5 linked regions of the Rattus norvegicus genome follow. The protein of the gene in region 1 interacts with the protein of each later gene in a biochemical or structural test. Links are inferred from orthologs where the notes say so. Each region holds a gene or a part of one and is shown in the gene's direction. Other genes may lie near its edges.

Evidence for each region.
Region 2: the proteins of Crk (region 1) and Rapgef1 form a complex in vitro, tested with the Homo sapiens proteins (4 studies listed by BioGRID, with this or other methods). The link is inferred for Rattus norvegicus from reciprocal best matches to the Homo sapiens genes CRK and RAPGEF1.
Region 3: the proteins of Crk (region 1) and Dock1 form a complex in vitro, tested with the Homo sapiens proteins (3 studies listed by BioGRID and IntAct, with this or other methods). The link is inferred for Rattus norvegicus from reciprocal best matches to the Homo sapiens genes CRK and DOCK1.
Region 4: of the proteins of Crk (region 1) and Abl2, one has a biochemical effect on the other in vitro, tested with the Homo sapiens proteins (2 studies listed by BioGRID and IntAct, with this or other methods). The link is inferred for Rattus norvegicus from reciprocal best matches to the Homo sapiens genes CRK and ABL2.
Region 5: the proteins of Crk (region 1) and Bcar1 form a complex in vitro, tested with the Homo sapiens proteins (2 studies listed by BioGRID, with this or other methods). The link is inferred for Rattus norvegicus from reciprocal best matches to the Homo sapiens genes CRK and BCAR1.

Annotation. Positions count from the first base shown.
Region 1 is NC_086028.1:61,027,734-61,031,720, forward strand, and holds the start of Crk (adapter molecule crk), read left to right. Parts: upstream 1-1,183; 5' UTR 1,184-1,222; coding exon 1,223-1,463; intron 1,464-3,987. UniProt on the Homo sapiens protein: Involved in cell branching and adhesion mediated by BCAR1-CRK-RAPGEF1 signaling and activation of RAP1.
Region 2 is NC_086021.1:33,411,224-33,414,623, forward strand, and holds the end of Rapgef1 (Rap guanine nucleotide exchange factor 1), read left to right. Parts: intron 1-446; coding exon 447-597; 3' UTR 598-2,896; downstream 2,897-3,400. UniProt on the Homo sapiens protein: Guanine nucleotide-releasing protein that binds to SH3 domain of CRK and GRB2/ASH. Transduces signals from CRK to activate RAS. Involved in cell branching and adhesion mediated by BCAR1-CRK-RAPGEF1 signaling and activation of RAP1.
Region 3 is NC_086019.1:198,895,551-198,899,847, forward strand, and holds the start of Dock1 (dedicator of cytokinesis protein 1), read left to right. Parts: upstream 1-1,494; 5' UTR 1,495-1,612; coding exon 1,613-1,658; intron 1,659-4,297. UniProt on the Homo sapiens protein: Involved in cytoskeletal rearrangements required for phagocytosis of apoptotic cells and cell motility. Along with DOCK1, mediates CRK/CRKL regulation of epithelial and endothelial cell spreading and migration on type IV collagen.
Region 4 is NC_086031.1:71,222,535-71,226,751, forward strand, and holds the start of Abl2 (tyrosine-protein kinase ABL2), read left to right. Parts: upstream 1-1,414; 5' UTR 1,415-1,683; coding exon 1,684-1,840; intron 1,841-1,901; exon of another isoform or gene 1,902-2,110; coding exon of another isoform or gene 2,111-2,189; intron 2,190-4,217. UniProt on the Homo sapiens protein: Non-receptor tyrosine-protein kinase that plays an ABL1-overlapping role in key processes linked to cell growth and survival such as cytoskeleton remodeling in response to extracellular stimuli, cell motility and adhesion and receptor endocytosis.
Region 5 is NC_086037.1:56,620,386-56,624,562, reverse strand, and holds the start of Bcar1 (breast cancer anti-estrogen resistance protein 1), read left to right. Parts: upstream 1-1,372; 5' UTR 1,373-1,492; coding exon 1,493-1,504; intron 1,505-4,177. UniProt on the Homo sapiens protein: Docking protein which plays a central coordinating role for tyrosine kinase-based signaling related to cell adhesion. Implicated in induction of cell migration and cell branching. Involved in the BCAR3-mediated inhibition of TGFB signaling.

The DNA of each region.
Region 1 (3,987 bases):
TAGTGGCTAGGCAGAGGTGGTGCATACCTTTGATCCCAGCACTGGGGAGGCAGAGGCAGGTGGATCTTTGAGTTCAAGGTCAGCCTGCTCTATAAAGTGAGTTCCAGGAGAGCAAGAGCTATCAGAGAAACCCTATCCTGAACACCCCACTCCCCAGTATTTTTTCATTAAAAATTTTTTTTGAGATAGATGATGATCATGAAGGAAGTGAAACTAGGAGATTCCTCTGGCTACAAATGAGAGTTTAAAAGGATCTGGCTGGTTGACATGGGAGCTCCCATAGAGAGAACTCCATTGCTTTGCCTGGCTGGACATTTTGTTTTCTTTGCCTTAAGTACCCTTCCCCACTTGCCATTCAACACCGAACCATTCAACCTACACCATCTCATCTGTGGACTCCTTGTTCTTATTTGCTTTCGTTTTATAATATAGGGCCTGAAACACAGTGATCCTCCTGTCTCAGTTTCCTAAGGGTTGGGATTACTGTCATAGTCACTTTACCCGGCCCTTGGATTCCTCTAGGATTACTTAGTTGATTTCCTTGTGTCTCTGTTTCCCATCACAGCAGACATTAATGGTTTCCTGATCCCTCCCACTGGTCTGTGAATTCGGTGACTTAAGGCTCAGTCTAGGTCAGTACTGCACCTGCAAGGCAAATGTGTTATCTATGGCTACTCCTAGATAGCAAGAACTTCGACTGACCTCCGGGGAAACCGAAGGAAACACCGGGAAAGACCAGCTTGTTAGGGAGCTTTGAGGGCATCCTGGGACCACATCATCTTTTTTACTCCAGTCCTTTTACTGGAGCTGCTACCTGTAGGTCCTGGGAGAAAGACCGCCTCTACCAATCTGTCAAACACCAGTTAGTCAAACACCAGTCAGTCTGAAGATTGAGGCTCCGCCCCTTAAACCTAGACTCCGCCTCCCCATCCTCCGCCGTTGGGGTTCTGGACCGGGCGGCGACGCCCATGAGGACGCATGCGCACTGCGGGCCCCAAGGACTCCGTTTCCCTTCTCCCAATGGCGGGCGGCGGTCCCCTTCCCGGCAGCCTCCCTCGGGTAGAGAGCGCGTCATTTCCGGTGGGGAAGGCCCGCGGCTGCCGCCGCCATTTCGGGCGCTGCTGGGAGGCTTACACCGGAGCCGGTCCGCTGGGCGGCGGGCGCCAGGGCTGGAGGGGCGCGCGTGCCGGCGGCGGCCCAGCGTGAAGGCGCGGAGGCGGCCATGGCAGGCAACTTCGACTCGGAGGAGCGGAGTAGCTGGTACTGGGGCCGCTTGAGCCGGCAGGAGGCGGTGGCGCTATTGCAGGGCCAGCGGCACGGGGTTTTCCTGGTGCGGGACTCGAGCACCAGCCCCGGGGACTATGTGCTCAGCGTCTCCGAAAACTCGCGCGTCTCCCACTACATCATCAACAGCAGCGGCCCGCGCCCTCCAGTGCCTCCGTCGCCCGCTCAGCCTCCGCCGGGTGAGGGACAGACGGGCGGGAGGCCCGGGCGGGGGTGAAGGCCCTAGAACCCTGGTCGGCTGCAGGAGGGACGTGGGCAGAGAGGGCTGGAGTGAACCTGGCGGGGGAGCTGCCTTCTGACCAAGCTGGTTCCCACCGATGAGCGGGATTGTGGGGGAGGAGGAGCTGCTCACCGAGGCCTCTGGGTGTGCCTTGGGAGCCGGGGAAGGGGAACTGCTGCGGCCCCGGGGTGGGGCTGGGCGCCAGGGTCAGGCCCAAGGGCAGGGCAGGGCAGGGCCAGGCAACTTGGGGACAAAGAGTTAATGGGGATGTTGCGGGGACATCATTTGGCAGAGATGCCCAGAATGGATCTGCTAATCCTACAAGTGGCTTTTAGGCTTGAAACGTTTCCTGCAGTGTTAGAGCTGGGTTTGGCCATACTCCCCTGGTGGCCTTCGGTAGGAAGTCACCACGTACTTGGCTGGCTGGGAGGGATGGAGACACCCTCAGGAAGCCGGTCAGCTTTTTCCTTTCTTGGGCATTTTTCCAAAATCTTTTTACCGTGCTCTTCCCTTGTGGAAGGTGGTGAACTAAGTGACTTGGTAATAGAAAAAAAGCTTTCTGTGACCAGCCCAGCGTAATTGAAGCCTAGCTGGCAAATTGTGTCCAAGAGGTTTTAAGTGTCCAAAAGACTGCCCGCTGCACGTAGAGTTTCTAGTTTCAAAGTGATTAGTGGAGGAAGGTTTTTTTTTTCCTTTAGGAAATAAACCAAGCATAGGCCAGGGAGAACAACCTTGGAAGTGAATGGAATTTCATTCTTCCTGGGCTTAAACAGTGTCAGTCAACGTACTTCTGGGTCTTTTCTTGCTAAGTTGGTGCTGTGGTCAAAATCTTCCAGGATATGAGAGCAGACCTAGCTGGCAGATACACCAAGAATAATTATCCCGCTGTGTTTTCCTCATCGAGGACCATTGAGTTGTAATTGTCTCAGCTGTATTATTGCAGTTGTCTTGGCAATGTTAAGGAAATTCATGCACTTCGTCCTTGAAGTTTGTGAGATGCACAGTGATTCTGAGATTACTGTTGTCTCTGTGTGTTGGCACCAAGCTTCTTGCTTTCTGGATGTTTGAAGTGCAAGCTTGTTCCTCCTAGAGCTGAGCTAATCTCATGAATGGAGACTCCCTGGTTAGCCGTTTAGTAGACCTCCTTTTAGGATCATCCTAATTTAGACTTACTCCCTTTGGCCACAAATGAGGAGGTAGAGGTGGGATAAACAGTTCTTGGTGTTGGCACACAAGTAAGGGGAAAATTTGAGTACTGAAGTCTTCTTAGTCTTTTTGTGTCTGTTGGTTTAATAATATAAAATCAGATACAACACAATTGCCCTAAACATAGTAAATTCTATTTTTGTGCTATCTGTAAAATAATCTGTTGTTTTGTGTTAAGGGCAGTAGTAAGATGAAATGTTATTGTTGAAATTCAATTCTCAGCCAAGTTTCATAATTCATGCTTTTAATCCCAGCACCTAGGAGGCTGAGGCAAGATTTTACAAGTTCCAGGTCATCTGGGAAACTTAGCAAGATTCTGCCTCAAAATAAAAAGTTATGTTAGGGGGTGTGACTAGGGATATAGTTGAGTGGTAGTTTATTTGCCTGACATTTGGGGAGGCTAGGTTTTATTCCCAATAGCTGGGGGTGAGGGACTCGGTCCTCAGTTTTCTCCTTGTTTGAAAATGTGGGACTAGCATCAGGCAGGCTTGTGGTTTTATATCTCGGTAGCTCCACCTTTTCAAAATAGGTGTTTGGCCTAGGAGAGGAGAAGATTGCCAGTTTGTGGGTTAGGTGTGGAAAGTTCATTGGCTTTGTGGCAATTTGTTCTGTCGTGTTCCCCATTTTCTCTGTAGGACACTCAATTCACTTGCTGTCTTTATGATGGTCACTTAATCGCTGTTCTGCCATCCATTAAACTGTTTTTCTTTTGAAGCCACACAGGAATTACTTGAGTTTTAGAGAGACATATATAATTTTAATAGTTTACACTTATTGACTGACTATTGTATGCTACATGCTTTGCTAAATGTGCCTTATATAATTCACCATCAGTAAAACAATCCAATGAGTGAAATTCTGCAATCTCCATTTATTAAAACATTTTCATTTGGAGGTGGGGAGAAGAACTAGAAATCCAGTAACCTGTAACATTTAGCATATAAACCAGAATTTGAACTAGACAGTGTGACCTGAGAACTGACTATTGTATAATTTTGGTATTCTTTGTTTATTTGCTTTGGAATCCCTGGGGTGCACATAGGGAACTCCATTCTTTTGTTTTGAAACAGGGTTTCACTCTGCAGCCCTAGCTGGTCTGCAACCATATAAACTAGGCTGGCTTTGAACTCAGGAGAATTCTTGCTTCTGCCATCTGAGTGCTCTGAGATCCCGCAGAGTGGCTCAGTAGGCAAAAGCACAGCTTTGCCAGCTTGAGGGTCTTGTTTGATCCTCAATCCCGGGGTTGGATAAGAGAAGGAACACCTCAGAGTTGTCCT
Region 2 (3,400 bases), on another chromosome or scaffold:
CTAGGGTTTTTCCAGGACAATATGGGGAGATTCACATAAAGGACTCAAAGGACTGCTGGCCTGGCCCTGTGGTGGCAGCCAGCTTGTCCTCCAGTTACAAGTCAGGAAGCAGGTACTCCCCAGGCCACAAGAAGGAGGCTGTCAATCCAGCCTCCTTGGCAGAAGGGGTAGGCTTCAACGTCACCCTACTCAGCATGGTCTACATGTGTCATGTCCCGGATGGATCCGCTCAGGGAACCACTGGGAAGCCAGGCTTCCATGAGGAGCTGCAGGAGCAGTGCTGGCTGGAAGCCAGAGCTCAGTCTGCATTCTGGTACTGAGTGCTGTTGTCCCCTGTTAGGTAGCAATGACCCTACCAGGCAGATGACTGTGAGGACCCACCCTGTGAGGTTCCGGCCAAGCTATTCAGCTAGCCCTGGACTTGCTGACTGCCCCTCTCCCACCAGGCACTATGAAATCCGGAGAAACGACGACATCATAAACTTCTTCAATGACTTCAGCGACCACCTGGCCGAGGAAGCCCTATGGGAACTCTCTCTGAAGATCAAGCCTAGGAACATAACAAGGCGGAAAACAGACCGTGAAGAGAAGACCTAGGAGCAGGCTGGCTGTGAGGATGCTCAAGCAGCCAGGAGAGGACCTGGACCGTCCCAGCCTCAGAGCCTGTCCATGGCTTGGCTGTGTGGCAGCACCGAGTCTGCCGGCCGGTTTCCTGCCTCCTTCCCTATGGCTAAAGCCCCAGGGTTCACAGTGAGCTGGCTGGCAGGCCTCAGGACTGGCTTGTGTACTGGTGGCCCCTGGTCTGGTTTTGTTTTCTGTTTTCTGTCGATGCTCCGTCCTGTTCCCTACTGTCCCCTCCAACAGGGAGCAGAAGAAACCTGAGCAGCAGACCAGGGGAGTGGCTGGCTTCCTTCCTCCCTCCCAAGGCTGTCTTTGCCTTCTTAAGTGGCAGATAAGTAGAGGCCCCACCCAGGCCCCTTGGGTAGACCGCCCTCCAGGGTACCTGGAGCCAGAGGAGATAGGGCTGGGAGGTGGAAGAAGGAGAAAAGGGCCACAGCAGGCATCTTTCACTGTCCATTTCCTGCCTTTTAGACATGGAGGATGAGGATGTCGACCTGGCGTGAAAGTATCATGGGATAGGCAGCAGCCAGAGCTGACACTTGTCACAGTACTGGCCCCAGCCCTGTCCTGCCAGGCATGGTCCACCAAGGCTCACCTGCTGGACTGACAGCAGCACCAGTTGCACCTTCCACCCTGTTGCCCCACCACTGTCCAGCCCCAGCCCAGCCCACATCAGCGGTTCTCTGGGGATCAGGAACAGGAGGCAGAAGGGAGAGTTCATGCTGAGCTGGGGCCAAGGCTATGCTTCCAAGTGGCTCAGAGAGTGAGGATCTTTAGTGACCTAGGGAGAGGCAAGCAGCCTCTCCGTGCTTGCTGTGTGCCTTAAATGCCATCTCCTGTTCCTTCCAGCCTGGGGCTTCCCTCCTCCTGTGCCCCACCCCTGGCAGCCAGCAGGGTCCTGGGCCCTTTTTGCTCCCTGGGAATGTCTCCTGTTCCCAAGGCTAAAGAAGCCTAGGATGTGAGGCCTCCAGGGGCTCCTGATTCCAGACAGGTGGCAGAGCCACCCCTGCTGCTGAGGTTGACAATCTGTTCAGGGCTCAGGACTGGGATCTCCCTGGCCATGGTCCCACGGCCTCACTGTAGGCTGATTGGCAGGGTGCAGGTCAGAATGCAGAGGTGCTGCTGGCCCTGCACCATCCCTCCAGTTCAGGTTTGCATGGACAGGCACCCTCATCTTCTGGTCATGGGGCTTGGCCAAGTGGATCCCAGGATTTCTGTGCTTCCCAGCCCAGTCGTCAGAGCAGAAGAAAAGACAGCAGCAGCTGCTGGCCGGGTACTAATTTGAAACAGCTGTCACTCTGAACCCTTCCTGGGTTGGTTTTTTGTTTTGTTTTTGTTTTTAAAGCAGCTTTTATCAAATAAGAACTATAGGACCCTCTTCTGTTTATTTGTGCTGTAAATAGAAAGGGGACATCTGTAAACAGCCCCTTGGCCAGCTCCCTCTGGCAGCAGCCGGTACTGGATTGTTTATGGAGCGTTTGTGGAGTCAGGCTTGTGAACAGTCGCGTGGGTCTTTGGTGTGTTCCTCTTTTACAGGTCCTTTCATTTCAGTCTTTGCTCCTACTTGCTGTCCTTCACCAGCTCTAGGTGCTGCTGTGTGCGAGTGGGGAACACTGTGCACACGGGGTCTTTCCTCCCAGCGCTTTAGAGGCCCCTGCAGCCTCCCTCTGTAGCACAGGCCAACATAGGCCCAGCCTACTGGTGCTGCAGCCAACAGAGCGGCTCTGTGGTCTGTGTCTACTGGTTCCCAAACATGAGCTGGCTAGAAAGGAAGGCTCTCCTTCCAGACCAGAAAAGCCAGGCCCTCCTACAATCCTGGGAGCCTTAGGCAGACTAAGTCAAGGGCCAGGGCACGTCTGGAGTTTCTGTGTGGGGATGTTGAGGTGCGATGTGTGGGTTTAACTTATTAGCCAGCAGGCTTCCCCAGTCACCTGCCTCTGGCTGCGGCTGAGCCCAGTGTTCCCGCAGCCTGGCTTCCACATGTCTGTTTTTTAGGGGTGGGGGGCTGGGAGAGCTGTGAAGATGGGTCTTTATAGATATACTAAGCAGCATGGACAATTCGGTTCCCAGCAGAGGCCAGCCCTTACCTGTGGATATGGTCTGACCAAGGCTAGGGCAAGCAAACACCATGTCTGACTGACCCTTAAGTCTCCCAGTGTGGCACTGTAATATAACCCCCCACTCACCTGTCTGACAATGCATCTTCCTACAGACAGAACAGCGCGCAACTTTTATATGAAAGAAAAATAAACAGACAAAAGCCCGTCTGATGCCACGTCTGTGTCCAGGCTTTCTCTATCAGGCTGCGTTGGGCCAGTCCCTGCTATGTGTGACCAAGGGGAAGGGAAGTGGGTAAGGTAAGGTGGGCTGAGCTCTGGTAAGCATTGGGAGCCCATGTGCTAGGAGAGAACTGACTCCTGCAAGTTGTCCTCTGACGGCCGCGCACACACTGTCATGGGAGTGAGCAGAGGAGGACTAAAGCCCTGGGCCTTAAAACTCCTCCCTTCACCGCCTCTGCTTCTGAGGGTCGTTCAATCCTGTGTCTTCCGAATTCAAGTGCTGAGAAAGACCAAAATACCACACCCAAAGGACAGCTCACAGCCAGCACCTGACTCTGAAGAGAGACCTCAGCAGTTAAGAGCGCTGGCTGCTCTTCCAGAAGACCCGAGTTCAATTCCCAGCATCTGTGATTTGTAACTCCAGTGCCCTCTTCTGACCTCTTTCAGCACCACACATGCAGTGCACACTCATGATGACGAAGCACTCGTCCACAAAATCT
Region 3 (4,297 bases), on another chromosome or scaffold:
CTATGAACCCACAGCTGAATTGCTAGAAATTTTAGTTGTATACTATCTTGAACAGGGGAGGTTCCTCTCACCTTGTCCATCCTGGAATTCCTGGCTGTTTAAGCTGCAATCTGGACTGGTTAACATAACTGCCCCAGGCCAGGGTGGCCCCGTCTACAGCAGGTAGTGGCTCCCTGACCTTCCAATTCTAGATGAGTCGGCTCCTCTCTGGCTCTGACATGCAATCTTACACAATGTAGCCTTCACTCTTTTAAACCTTCGTTCCTCTAGTCCTTGAAGTCTCTTGGCTGGTGTATTTGTCATTGTTTCTAGGATGCTAGGGAGAGAAGGCAGACAGCAGAAGGTATAATCTCGTTTACCCCTTCTAATGGATTGCCGTGGACTTGAGCCCCCATTCCAGCCCTCCCCTTAGTTTTAACCTTTTCTTGGATTCTAATGAAAACTCTGGGGTGTGTCTATGTGCGGGCCTTGGAGAACTCAGAAGTATTGCACTTGTGGGTGGCTGGCACTGGGTGAATCTGAGACCGGCCTCCTTCAGATTAGGGTTGCTAGGAGGCTGAGCTGCCTGTTCTAAGCTTGGACTGGCTTCCTTTCTCTTCCCACTTCCCTCTTTCCCCACTTCAGCAGGGCCCAACTCCCACTGAATGCCTCAAAGTTGTGCAAGCCTGGAGCCTCTCAGTGCAGCCCCAGGCCCTCAACACCTAAAGGGAGCTGGGTTGATAGAAACACCCAGGGGCTGCAAAGTCTTTCCCTAGGCTTCTCTTAACCAGTGCTGACTGTACGTCACCACTCCCATCAGCTACCAGGCACGCTCAGTACGTTCAGCCTCTGGCGAAATAGGTGCCCACTTTGTGTTTGTTGAATGAATGAATGAAATAATGAACGAACCACGAAGAACTCCTAGCTCTGCTTCAGCGCTCTCCACCAGGACACACTAGTGAGTACATGTTTGGTGTCTGATTCTGTTCTGATCCTCCACTATTTGTGTTAGGTCCAGGTCCGGAGGGCTGTAAGGACTCTGTGTGTGTGTGTGTGTGTGTGTGTGTGTGTGTGTGTGTGTGTGTGTGTGTGTGTGTAAAGACAGCGCCTCTGCACCATGCAAGGGTGCAGAGTGTTTAGGATGCCGATGCTTGGTGTTCAATGTAGTGTGTGGGGTACATAATAAAGAATGCTGAATGCGGTGCAGAGTAGAGTGTGCAGGGTGAGGGGTGTACGGTGCAGATTAATAGGTACGAGGTGCCTGCTGTTCAGTGAAAAGTAGAGAATGCGAGTTGCGCGGCGCGTGCAGCGTGCAGGACGTCTGTGGGCTCGGGGAAGCGGCCTGGGTCCCTCGAGGGACGCGGCCAGCCCGGCCCAGGGCACGCGCGCCTGGGCGGGCTGCAGCCGGCTGCCGTCCCGCCTCTCGCCGGCGCTCCTGGCCTTTCCCATCCGGCCCGCGACGCTCCGCCCGCCCCGTCCCACATGACACCGCCTCCGCCGCAAACTTTTTCCTCCCCATCCTGTCGCGGCGGGGAAGGAATGGAAGATGGCGGCCTAGGCGCACAGTTTCCTGCCCGAGCAGCGGCGGCGGCAGCGGCAGCGGCGGCTCCAGTGGGCTGCGGCCAGCGCCACCATGACGCGCTGGGTCCCCACCAAACGAGAGGAGAAGTACGGCGTGGGTGAGCAGCGCGCCGCCCCGCGCCCGCCCCGCGCGCAACTTCCCCGCCGCGGTGCCCAGCCTGTTGCCGCGCGGTGCGGAGCCCGGCCCGCCGGGGGCTGGAGCCCGCGTGGGGAACCCGGTGACCTTCCGGGGTCCACCGTGCTCCTTATTCCCGCGCATTCGCTCTGTGTAGTCCCGTGTGTTCCTGAGTGCGCAGGGCTCCCGGGGTCATTGTTTGTGTGCGTTTTGGCTTCTTCGGGAAACTTTTGTTTGGCATCCGGGATTCCGGGTGAACACTTTTCATTGTGCAGCGCACGGATCTGTGAAGTCTCCTTTTCTCGCGTGAGGAGTGGCTGCGCTTCCCGGGCTGGGTCCGTGCCGCCTTTCCCGCCCTGGATGGTGGGGGGGGGCACTCAGGCGCTCCTGTTTCCCGGGGACCCTGGAAACGGACCTCGAGGGCGGGGACCTGGTTTTGCCTTTGTCGCTTCCCGAGGGGGTGGAGGGAGTCGGGTTGCAAGCTTACATTTGACTCAAGACACATTCCAAGGAGCCCGGCTTGCTTCAGTGGCTAGACAGTACTAGAGCCCTGCAGACCCTGTCTTCCCCTCCAGCCAGCCCACATCAAAAATCAGGTCTGTCTAGGCCTCAGGGCTCGCTGGCATTCCAGACCTGACTATTCTGTTTCCAGGCTCCTTCTCTCTTTCCCTAAGGATCCTCTGATGCCCAGCCTCACCTGAGCAGAGACTCTGTCTGACTTGCAAGCAAGCATTTCTCAGGGATTTGCAAGCAAGCATTTAGAGGAGCTTGCCGCCTTCCACCCTAAGGGCTGCCTTGAGGCGTTTTCTCAGCAGCTGTCTGTTCTAGGCACGCCTTCAGCACCTTCTTGCAGGCCTAGCTCTTGTCCCAGCCCGCTAACTTTGGAAGCTTCCTGGAGACTCCAATCTACAAGGCTGTGTCCTTCCTTTGAACTCTAGTTACTTATTTCTGTAGCAAGTAGGGGATGGTGGCCACGGGGGCAGGGCTGGGGAAGCCTAGGGCTCCTACCTCCACTCTAGGCCCACACACTGGGTTGGAGGACTTCCCTCCTTGTGAACACTGGGACTGGCCTCCACCTGCATTTGGCAGACCTTTCTGAGGCCCATGACAGAGCTGGGCTTTCTGGGGGTGGATGGGGTGTGTAAGGAGCTAAGAAGCATATCTTGTACCTCCTGGGGGTCCCATGTGGGGCAAGAAGGGCTGTGAGAGTCCCATCTGTCTAATTTGGGATGAGGATCCTACTTAGGAGGACTTCAGGGTGTGGGAGCGATGAGTGTTTTCTCCTGGGATTGCACAGGACTGTTCAAAAAACAGCTAGAAGACCAGGAGCAAGCAGAAAGCGGCCACAGGACGGTCAGGAGGCAGTGAGGAAGGAGAGGGACCCTTGGGCCTGTAGGGGAGTCTCGGGTAGTGGAGAAAGTTGTTACTTACACTTTACCCTTGCAGCACAGTAATGGGAGCGCTCTGGGTTTGAACCCTGGCAACAGCGGGTTCACATTCATCCCTGTTCTGGTGTAGCTGCCACCATGGCTTGTGATTACTGGATAGGGGAGTCTCTTTCTATGTTTTTTGTTTACTTTTTGAGACAGAGTTTCACTATGTAGCTCTGGTTGTTCTGGCTTCATACAGAGGTCTACTTGTCTCTGCCTCCTGAGTGCTAGGTTTAAAGGCATGCGCCCTCACACCTGGTGGGTCTCCTCCCTGAACCCTCCACCCCGTTTAAGCTGGCAGACTACTTTGTTGACATTTGAGAGAAAGAAGCAGGCAGACCGGAGACCTTAGCAGCTGTGGGAAAGAAGGGTTGTAGATAGGAAAGAAAAGGCTTGGGGGGAGAGGGTTGGTTCAAACTCAGTTTGTAGTGCAGGGGTGGTAGTGTGGGTACATACCCGGAAAATTGGAACTTGGGAGGTCGAGAGGCAAGAAGATCAGAAGTTGAAGCTCATCCTCTTCAGCATAGTAAGTATGAAGCCAGCCTGAGCTACATGGGATCTTGTCTCAAAAAGAAAAAAGTCATATTTTGTAAGCAAAAGGGCAAGAAAACCTGCAGATCTAACAGTGGAAGCCCCATGAATTCCTTTGTTGAATGTGGGGCTTTCATTTCAGAGAGAGAGAGAGGGAGAGAGAGAGAGAGAGAGAGAGAGAGAGAGAGAGGGAGGGATACAGATACAGGTACATACATACATACATACATACATACTTACATACATACATACATACACACACACGCACCGATATCCAGTGCCAGGGTGTGGGGTAGGGTGGTGGAGGCACTTCATTTTGCTATAGTGTCCAGTTCCCCTAGAGACCTGCGTGTTGTCTTCAGTGAACCTTTTGTAGTTCTGTAGTGCGGCTTGACCTGGAGAAGAAGGGGGAACATTCCTATATAGGGTGAGGAGGGTCTCCCTCCAGAGTAGGAAACAAGCAGCCCAGGAGGCTGTGGCTGTCCCAGTTAGGCCACACATCCCCCTGAAAGCACTCTTGGATAGGACTTCTAACATCAAGTCTTTTGCTAATGCATTAATCTCAAAACTTTCAGAAAGTTCTCAAAGGAGAACTAGTACAGTGGTTCTCAACCTTTCTAATGCTGTGACCCTTTAATACAGTTCCTCGTGTTGTGGTGAC
Region 4 (4,217 bases), on another chromosome or scaffold:
CTTTTTTTTTTTCCTTTTTTTTCCGGAGCTGGGGACTGAACCCACTACCACTGAGCTAAATCCCCAACCCCAACCTTCCCTCTTCTTGTAGACCAGCTAGGATCATAAAGCTTGGGCTAGTGCTTCTGGCTTTTCACTATGACTAGTATCTTGTGTGGAACTCCAAGTTCAGGTGGTCAGGCTTGCAGTGCAAGTATTTTTTTTTTTTTTTTTTTTGTCATTAACCCATCTTTCCCCAGCCCCTAAGGCTCTTTAATAGTGAATATCTGTATCAAAATCAGCTGGAATTTGGGCAGTAGCAAGTGGTAGAGCATTTGCCTGGAACTCAAGGTCCTGAGTTCGAATCTCACCAACACACGCTTGTGATCTTACACAGTTCTACAAAACACACGTAAGGGGAACTACATCTATTTTTGCTAACTCTTCTCTTCCTTAGGGCTGTTTTCCTCTATTTAAGCAATGGCTCCAGTCCTCATTCGAAAGCAAAAGTTCAAGTGCCAAGTCTAGTAACTGATCCTTTTAAAGAACAAAACAAACAAGGAAGAAAAAGGAATAGCGAGAAATAAGCGTCATCGAGTCTTTGAGAATTGAAAAAACTGGCTAAATATTAAGTTAATAGAACTCGTAGTGGGTTGGGATGGGGAGACAACTGCACACAGGGTGCACTCCTATAAAAAAAAAACTTCTCTTCTGCCTGTTTCTCTATTTAGATACCAGAAGGTAAAGATGAGTAAGTTCTGACTCAGGTCAAAGTGATTACGTTTTCCTGGTCAACAAAGGAGTGCCTGACATCCTGCACTGCACATCTGTGGGAAGATTAGCTTTACTGTTAGGCGTTTTAAAGTAAACAGAAACACATGCGGTTAGGGAGATGGTGGAAGAGTTCAAGAGAAATCCAAGGTAGTATGAGGAATTGGGCTACAACGGCTTTGCCAAGAAGTCTGCAAAGTGCACATCAAGAAATAATTCAAATTAAGTTAACCCCGCACTTTACCATCTCCCGGTGAATTTTGTACTATTTCAAACTTCACCCTAGACCTGATGCTGAGTGTGTGTGAAGGGCTTCTCAGTTGAATGGCAGCTAAGCACAGGGATTCACGAGCCTCAGCTGCCTGCTGCTGAGCTGCGCACGTGGTGGGTTCAGAACCTCCTCTGACTTGACAGGTGGGGGTGGGACAAGAAAGGCTGGGCGCCCACACCCCTCCAAGTAAGGCAGTGTGTGGAGCCGAATGTAGGTAAAGGTGGCGGTGAAGCCTTCGAGGGCCCTAGAAAGCTTCGGTGGACCGGTGGGGTGGGCCTCGACTTCAACCCAGCGGGGCGCGGGCGGGGCGGGGCCACACGGAGCTCCGCCCACCGAGTAGCGGAGGTGCCTGGGCGAGAGAGGGGCGGGAGACGCTCTGTCCCACGCTCGCCCTGTGCTCGGTGGTTTAAAGATGGCGGCGGCGGCTGGGGCGAGGAGCCGCCGGAGGGGGAGGGAGAAGGGTAGTCTGTGAGTCGCTGGGAGGCAGCACGGCGCGCGGCAGCGGCTCTGAGGAGTCTGCGTGAGGAGCCGCCGGCAACTCCGGCCCAGAGGGCCTGGGTTTGGGCCGGAGAGGCCGGAGCGGTGCCGGGAGCTCCGAGGCCGGAGCAGAGGAGGAATGTGAGCAGGGGTCGGCGGGGGCGCGGGAGTACGCGAGCGGCGGGATGGGGCAGCAGGTGGGCCGCGTCGGGGAGGCTCCCGGGCTCCAGCAGCCACAGCCGCGCGGGATCCGGGGCAGCAGCGCAGCCAGGCCCTCCGGCCGCAGGCGGGACCCGGTGGGGCGTACCGCAGACGCCGGCTTCAACGTCTTCACCCAGCACGGTGAGTGTGTCCTAAGCCGGCTGAGGGCGTGAGGGAGGCCAGGGGTGGGGTGGGGTCGGGACGAGGTGCGAGGCGGACGGGCAGCCTTCGGGGGGCGAGGGCTGGAGGGGTGCCCGAGAGTGGGGGCGGAATCGGCTGCCATCTGGGCCAGTCACGGGAGGCGAGGCACACCCCTCCCCCCGCCCGGCTAGGCTCTCCAGCCTGGCTGGCAGTGTCTGGGGGCGGCGGCGGCGGCGAGAAGGAATAGGGGTCTTAGGGACCCAGGCTTGAATGTCTTGCTGTCCTGGGACAGGACAGGGCGACTGTCGAACAGTGGATGGTATCCCCAGGAAGGGAAGGATGAAGGCAGGTATGAGCTCAGGTTCAGGTGGTGGGAGGATAAACCGGTTGTTAACGACGGGAACGAGTCGTGCCCCGAGGAATTGGGAAATAGGAACTGAATCTTTAAGAGATTGTGGCATATTCGGTATGTGTTTTATTAATCAGGCGGTGAGCAGTGTCAGAATGGTGAACAGTGAAACCCTTTTCAGTATCTCTTTACTTTCAAGAGTATTTTCTCCAAACTAAAAATGAAGGGCTCTGCCAAACCACCCTGTTCTGCCTATCAGAGTAGGACACAGGATTCTGAGATGGCTGGCGGAGCTCTAGATGGGTGGGCATGGTTAGGGCTTCCATGTGGATATGAACATGAGTTTTTCTTTGAGCCCCATTGGTGTATACATATATGCATACGTGCTCCATGTAATCTGGGACTTACTCGGCCTCATATTCTTCAGAAAAGCTGTTTCTAAACTATTTAAAATTATATTTATTTTTCATATGTATGTCTGTGTGTGCGCACACACACCCATATATGTAGAGGTCAGGAGTCAACTTGGGAATCATTTCTTTCCTACCATGTGGATCCCAGGTATTAAACTCTTCATCAGGCCTGGGGGCAAATGCCTAAACTCTTAAAAAAAGACAAACTTTGAGCACATATTAATTTATATGTCTTTATTAATATACACAAGCTAATAAAAATTAACAAATAATGTAATTAGCGGTCAGAAATAGAGTACAAGAAAGGGTGCAATGAGGGAAATTAAGAATACAGCACTGTAAAGTAGTGACAATGTACACAGCCTGTCTGAGGCCTGAGTTCAAGCCCCAGCAGCCAGGGAGAGAGAGAGACAGAAAGAGAGAAAAAGAGAAAGAGAGAAAGAGAGAAAGAGAGGGGGAGAGAGAGAGAGAGAGAGAGGAAGGAGAGAAGAAGAAGAGGAGGAGGAGGAGGAAGAGGAAGAAGAGGAGAAGAGAGAATGAATGAAAATGAATGAATATTATATTATAAGAGCATTGTTCTGGGGTTGGGGATTTAGCTCAGTGGTAGAGCGCTTGCCTAGCAAGTGCAAGGCCCTGGGTTCGGTCCCCAGCTCCGAAAAAAGAAAAAAGCAAAAAAAAAAAAAAAAAAAAAAAAAAGCATTGTTCTAGGAGCAGAATACCAGAAGCCATCCTAAGACCTGAGAGGCTGGTGATGGAGATGTGCCATCCATAGACAGGACGGGCTAGTAGACACTGGACGGGAGGTAGCAAGCTAGCTTCAGTGATAATACATATAGGAGCAAAGTGAAGGAGAAACTGTCCCACTGCACGTAGCTTGGGGAATGGGAAGGAGGAGAGGTGTAGACTAGTCATGGGAAAGAGAGTTTCAGAGGAAGTGACGTAGCATGCAAAGAGATGATCCCAGGACTTGTAGCTTGGGTGATTTGTGTCCAGGTTCTGCATCTGGACTTCTGAATAACCAGAGGGCCTGGGTTTGGGCTGTTTTTCCTTTTTTAATTTAATATGTATGTGCGTTTAATTTAATTTTATGTGTATGTGTGTTTTGCTGCCTGTACGTCTGTGTACCATATGCCTACCTGACCCACAGAGGCAAGAAGGAGGACATCAGTTCTCTTCCTGTAACTTGAAGGTTGTGAGGTGCTATGTGGGTGCTGGTGACTGAACCCAGGCTCTGAGGAAGAACACTGGTTAAGAGTACTCTTGCGGGGCTGGGGATTTAGCTCAGTGGTAGAGCGCTTACCTAGGAAGCACAAGGCCCTGGGTTCGGTCCCCAGCTCCGAAAAAATGAACCAAAAAAAAAAAAAAAAGAGTACTCTTGCATATATGAGTTCAGTTTGGGCCAAGTATACTAGTACACAACTTTAATGTCAGTACCTGGGAGCCAGAGACAGAAGGATCTCTTTGAGTTCAGGGCCAACCTGGTCTTACCTGTTTTCACCAGTCTTATTCTTATATAAAATGAGGATGTGTTAAAGGTAACATGAAGGTTTTCAACCTGGGTAACTGGGATAATAACAATTTTATTGACAAAGTTGAAAGTTAAAAGATGATGGAT
Region 5 (4,177 bases), on another chromosome or scaffold:
CCAGGGGATCCCATGCTGTCTTCTGACCTCTGAATGCAGCAGGTAGGCACACGCTGTGCATACACGGATTTACAAATACTCACACACCAAAAATGAAATAAACCAGACGAGGGGGAGGAGGAGGAAAGGAAGGGGAGGAGGAGGAGGGGAATGGGAAGGAGGAAGAGGATGAGGAAGAAAGGAGAAAGGAGGAAGAGGAAGAGGTGGAAGCAGCAGCAGCGGCCGCCGAAGCAGCTTTGTCCCCAGGTACTATATGCTAGCTAGCTGAAGCTCTTGCCCTCTCGTGGTCCTCTTGTGATCCTCTCATGGGGCTCCCTTAGGAAGCAGTAGACAAAGCCATAGAGTCCAGTTCCCACTTGATGTAAGAATGCACTCTCCTACTCAGGGCATGGCAGCCATTAACTATCTGGGTCTGGCCTTGCTCAGGAAGAGGTCCCATGGAGCAGTGACAGGCTGAATGTGTTGGGCAGCAAGCAGAGCAGACCGCGGGGCCTTATGCCTTTGGTAGCCAGTGGAGCTCCGAGCCTCAGTGTACTGAGAGGGAAGGTGAAAGCAGCAAGGTGTGGCAGTCGGAAGCCCGTGTGCCTTGTGCTTGCAGGTGCATGTTTGGGCATTGTACCAAGTGTGAAACAGCTGAAGAAATTAGGGGTGATTAACAAGGAGGAAAGGAAGGTTCAGGTCCCCGAAGGCCTGTCTGTCTTCCAGCCTTGGGCAGGGGGGCCCATTGTGGGACCCTCCCTAAAAGCCACTGTAGAGGGCTGGAGGGATGGCTCACTGGTTGGGAGCACTGACCGCTCTTCCAGAGGTCCTGAGTTCAGGTCCCGGCAGCCACGTGGTGGCTCACGGCCGTCTGTGGTGGGATCTGATGCCCTCTTCTGGTGTGTCTGAAGACAGCTACAGTGTACTTGTATATAAATGAATAAATCTTCTAGAAAATTAAAAAAAAAAACCCTTTAAAAAAAAAAAGCCACTGTAGATTTTACTTTCAGGGGTATCCAATGTTAAGTCAGGCTGCTTCCTAGGCTGATCTAAGATCGCCTTCAGCCAGACTAATCTGCTCCCAAACTAGGATTGTAGGCGTCTTGGGACCCGCACTGAGGGACGTGATGTGTGGGGGTGGGGGTTCTAGTCTCAGAACCGGGTGGGCGGACCGGATGGGATTGTCTAATAGTGAGTCTGGAGGTGGCCTTTGGAAGGACAGGCAAGGTGTGGGAACTCAGCCTTCTCACCCAGTTGTGCCGACAGAAAAATGCCGGGGTCCCGGGTCCTCGCCTTTAACGCGGCCGGCGGCGCAGCAGGCGGGAGGGGGAGGGGCGGCGCGGGCAGCGCATGCGCGGCGCGGGGGGAGCGGCCGGACAGTCCGGTGGCTGAAAGCAACCCGCGGGCAGCGGAGAGCGCCGGGACCCCGCGCCGGGGGCTGTGAGCGGCGCGGGCCCACCGAGCCCGAGCTAGCCCGCGCCGCTGCCGCAGGGCCCCGGGAGCGGTGGCCAAGATGACCGTGCCGGTGAGTGCTGACCGCCTGAGACCCTGCTCCCCCCCGCCGTAGGCCTGGGCCACCGGGGGTCGCCGGAGGTTCTTTTCAAGCCGAGGTGGGGGTCAGGGTGGGGGCACCGCCCCATAACCGGCATCTCTGACACGGCTTTTCCAGCCTCCTCCAGGACAGCCGAGTAGGACGGGGAGCCGCACTGGCCCCACCGGGAGCTCCGGGGCACGGCTGGGTTGGGCAGGGGGCTTTAGGGGTGCTCCTGAGAGCCTCTGGGACTGGTGGGCTCGGCGGGGTCCGTGCCTTTCCCCGACCTCCTACCAGAGTGGTCAGGCCTACCGAAAAGAGGGCTCTGTCACTTCTTAGAAACCCATGGCCAGGTCAGCTGGGCCGAGTGGTGGGAAGGTCTGTGCGGTTCCCCCAGAAAACTCCCTGGGAGGGCTGCCCTATTGTGCTCTCTGGTCCCTACCCGGATGGCCAGGCGTGGGGCGGGGTCTGTTCTGTCCCCGGAGACACCCTTACCCCAGAATGGTTGGCTTGGCAGGCTAATGGAAATAGCGTACCTCCCCCTACCTCTGGTTTGTACATTCACTTTGTGGGAAGTTTTGTTGGCCCATTGAACTACAGGGCCTTTTGATTAGCAGCTGCTTTCTGTAGGGGCTTCCCCCTTTGCTTGACATCTCGTCTTCTGTCTTCCCAATCCACCAGACACACTCGAGAAGCCCTTGGTCCAGTCCTTAACACTAGGACCTTGGGTCTCCTCCTGAGGTGGCCAGTGATTATTCTACCAGGGGGGTGGACTCAGGCACAGGCTCCAACCCACTTTACAGATGGACACACAGAGGTGTGAGGCCACACCTTCATCCTGTCTGCCCCGGAGTCATGGCCTGCAGCCACCATTTCTCTGCTGACTCAGGCCTTTTCCCCAATGACAGGAAGGGGCAATGGGCCAGAGCCTTGCCTAGCCTGCCCTTATTCTGCTCTGGATCGACTCCGGAGACTGGGTTCTCTCCGTGATGCCGTTAGTTGGCGGGGCAAGTGGCTTCTTAATTAAGCACCATAGAGTATGGAGATTGCTGGAGAGGAGAGGGTTCTGTCAGGGCAAAGCATTGTTATTACAGAATTAAAGATCTCAGCTCCTGCCCGCCCCCAGAAGCGGTAATACTGAGTTACAGATGAAAAAATTAGGGCTTCCAGGCCGCGCTGATGGGAGCCCCCACCCCCATCTCTTCTGGTTCAAAGCATAATTGTCTCATCTCTAGGAAGAGACGGAGAAAGCCTGCCAAACCTCTCTGCTGTTCTGCTCTGCTGTTCTGCAAAGCTCAGGGTTTTCTCCAGCTTGGGGCATAGGGCACCGACCAACTCCGCCTCTGTGGACATTGGCCAGGAAAACAAGACAGACCTGCTGAGTGTGCTGGAGGGCCAGGGTCCCCAAGGCTGTAATGACCATGGAGTACCCCTCTGGACAGGCCTCTGGTCGGGAGGTCCAGGATTGGTTTAGTAGTCTAGCCTAGGTATAGAGCTCTGTATGGGACATGTGTCTTAGACGGCACGCAGACCCTTATCTCACGAGATTTCAGGTAGTCGCCCTCTGCTGTGTGCCACGGTGGTACCATCTATAACTGGAGAGGATAAGGGGTTTGTACAGGTGAGAATCACTGTGAAGAACTAAAGTGAAGGTCTGTCCCTACCACGATCCACTCCAAGTCACTTCTCTCCCGTTCGCTTGTAGCCACAGCCCTCAGTAATTCTGCACAGTGTGTAGCTAGACTAGACTGTCAGGCCATTGTCCTCTATCCTGGGCCCTAAGTAGTGTGCAAGGTGGTGGGGCTATGGAGAGGTCATTTCTGAAGCTTTCATATGCTGGGAGCCCGGGTGGACTTCTAGAAAGATCTGCCTGCCCAGGGAGCCCAGAATGGTGACTGGCCATGTGGTACTTAGGGACACGTTTGAGTTTTAAGCACACCCATTCATTTGGGCAGTCTTTCCCTGTATAGAGCTGACGCAAGCACTTTGGCCCACAGAAATTACAAGATGCTAACAGGCGGCAGTGGGAGACCACTGCAGAGAGAACTTGGGATGAAATAGGTTGAGTTGATGTGATTTCCTGGGTATCCAAGCAGGGCCTGGACAGGGTTTTGTTTTGGTGTTTGAGATAAGATCTCATTGTATAGCCCTGAATACCCTGGAATTTACTCTGTAGACCAGGCTTACCTTGAACTCATACTGAAAGCCATCTGCTTCTGCCTCCTCCAAGTGTTGGCCTAACTTGGAGTTCGCACTTGAAAATGACTGCTGCCATCTCGGACCCATGTCCACAAGTAACGAGAGGTTGGCTGCCCTGCCACGGTACGGTGAAGGGCAAGGCCTGTGCAGAGCAGCCCCACTGCAGCATGGCTCTGCTATGGCTTCTCTCCTGTGAAACTGGGTAGCCCATCTAGCCTCTACCGTGCCCTTTCTTGGGAGATGGGCCCTTTCAAGGAACACAGAGGCTGCCCGGTGTGAGCATGTCCTATGTGCTGGTCCTGAGGGAGGACCGGAAGTGGCCACAGTCACATGACAATGGAGCTAAGGCAGGGTAGGAACTAGCAGGCCTGGCAACATTCAGATTGGTAAAAATGACCATCACCCTGCCTGGCCTCACTAATTTCAGGCTGGAGCCCAGAGAGCTGTTGACAGCTCCCTGTGGCTTTC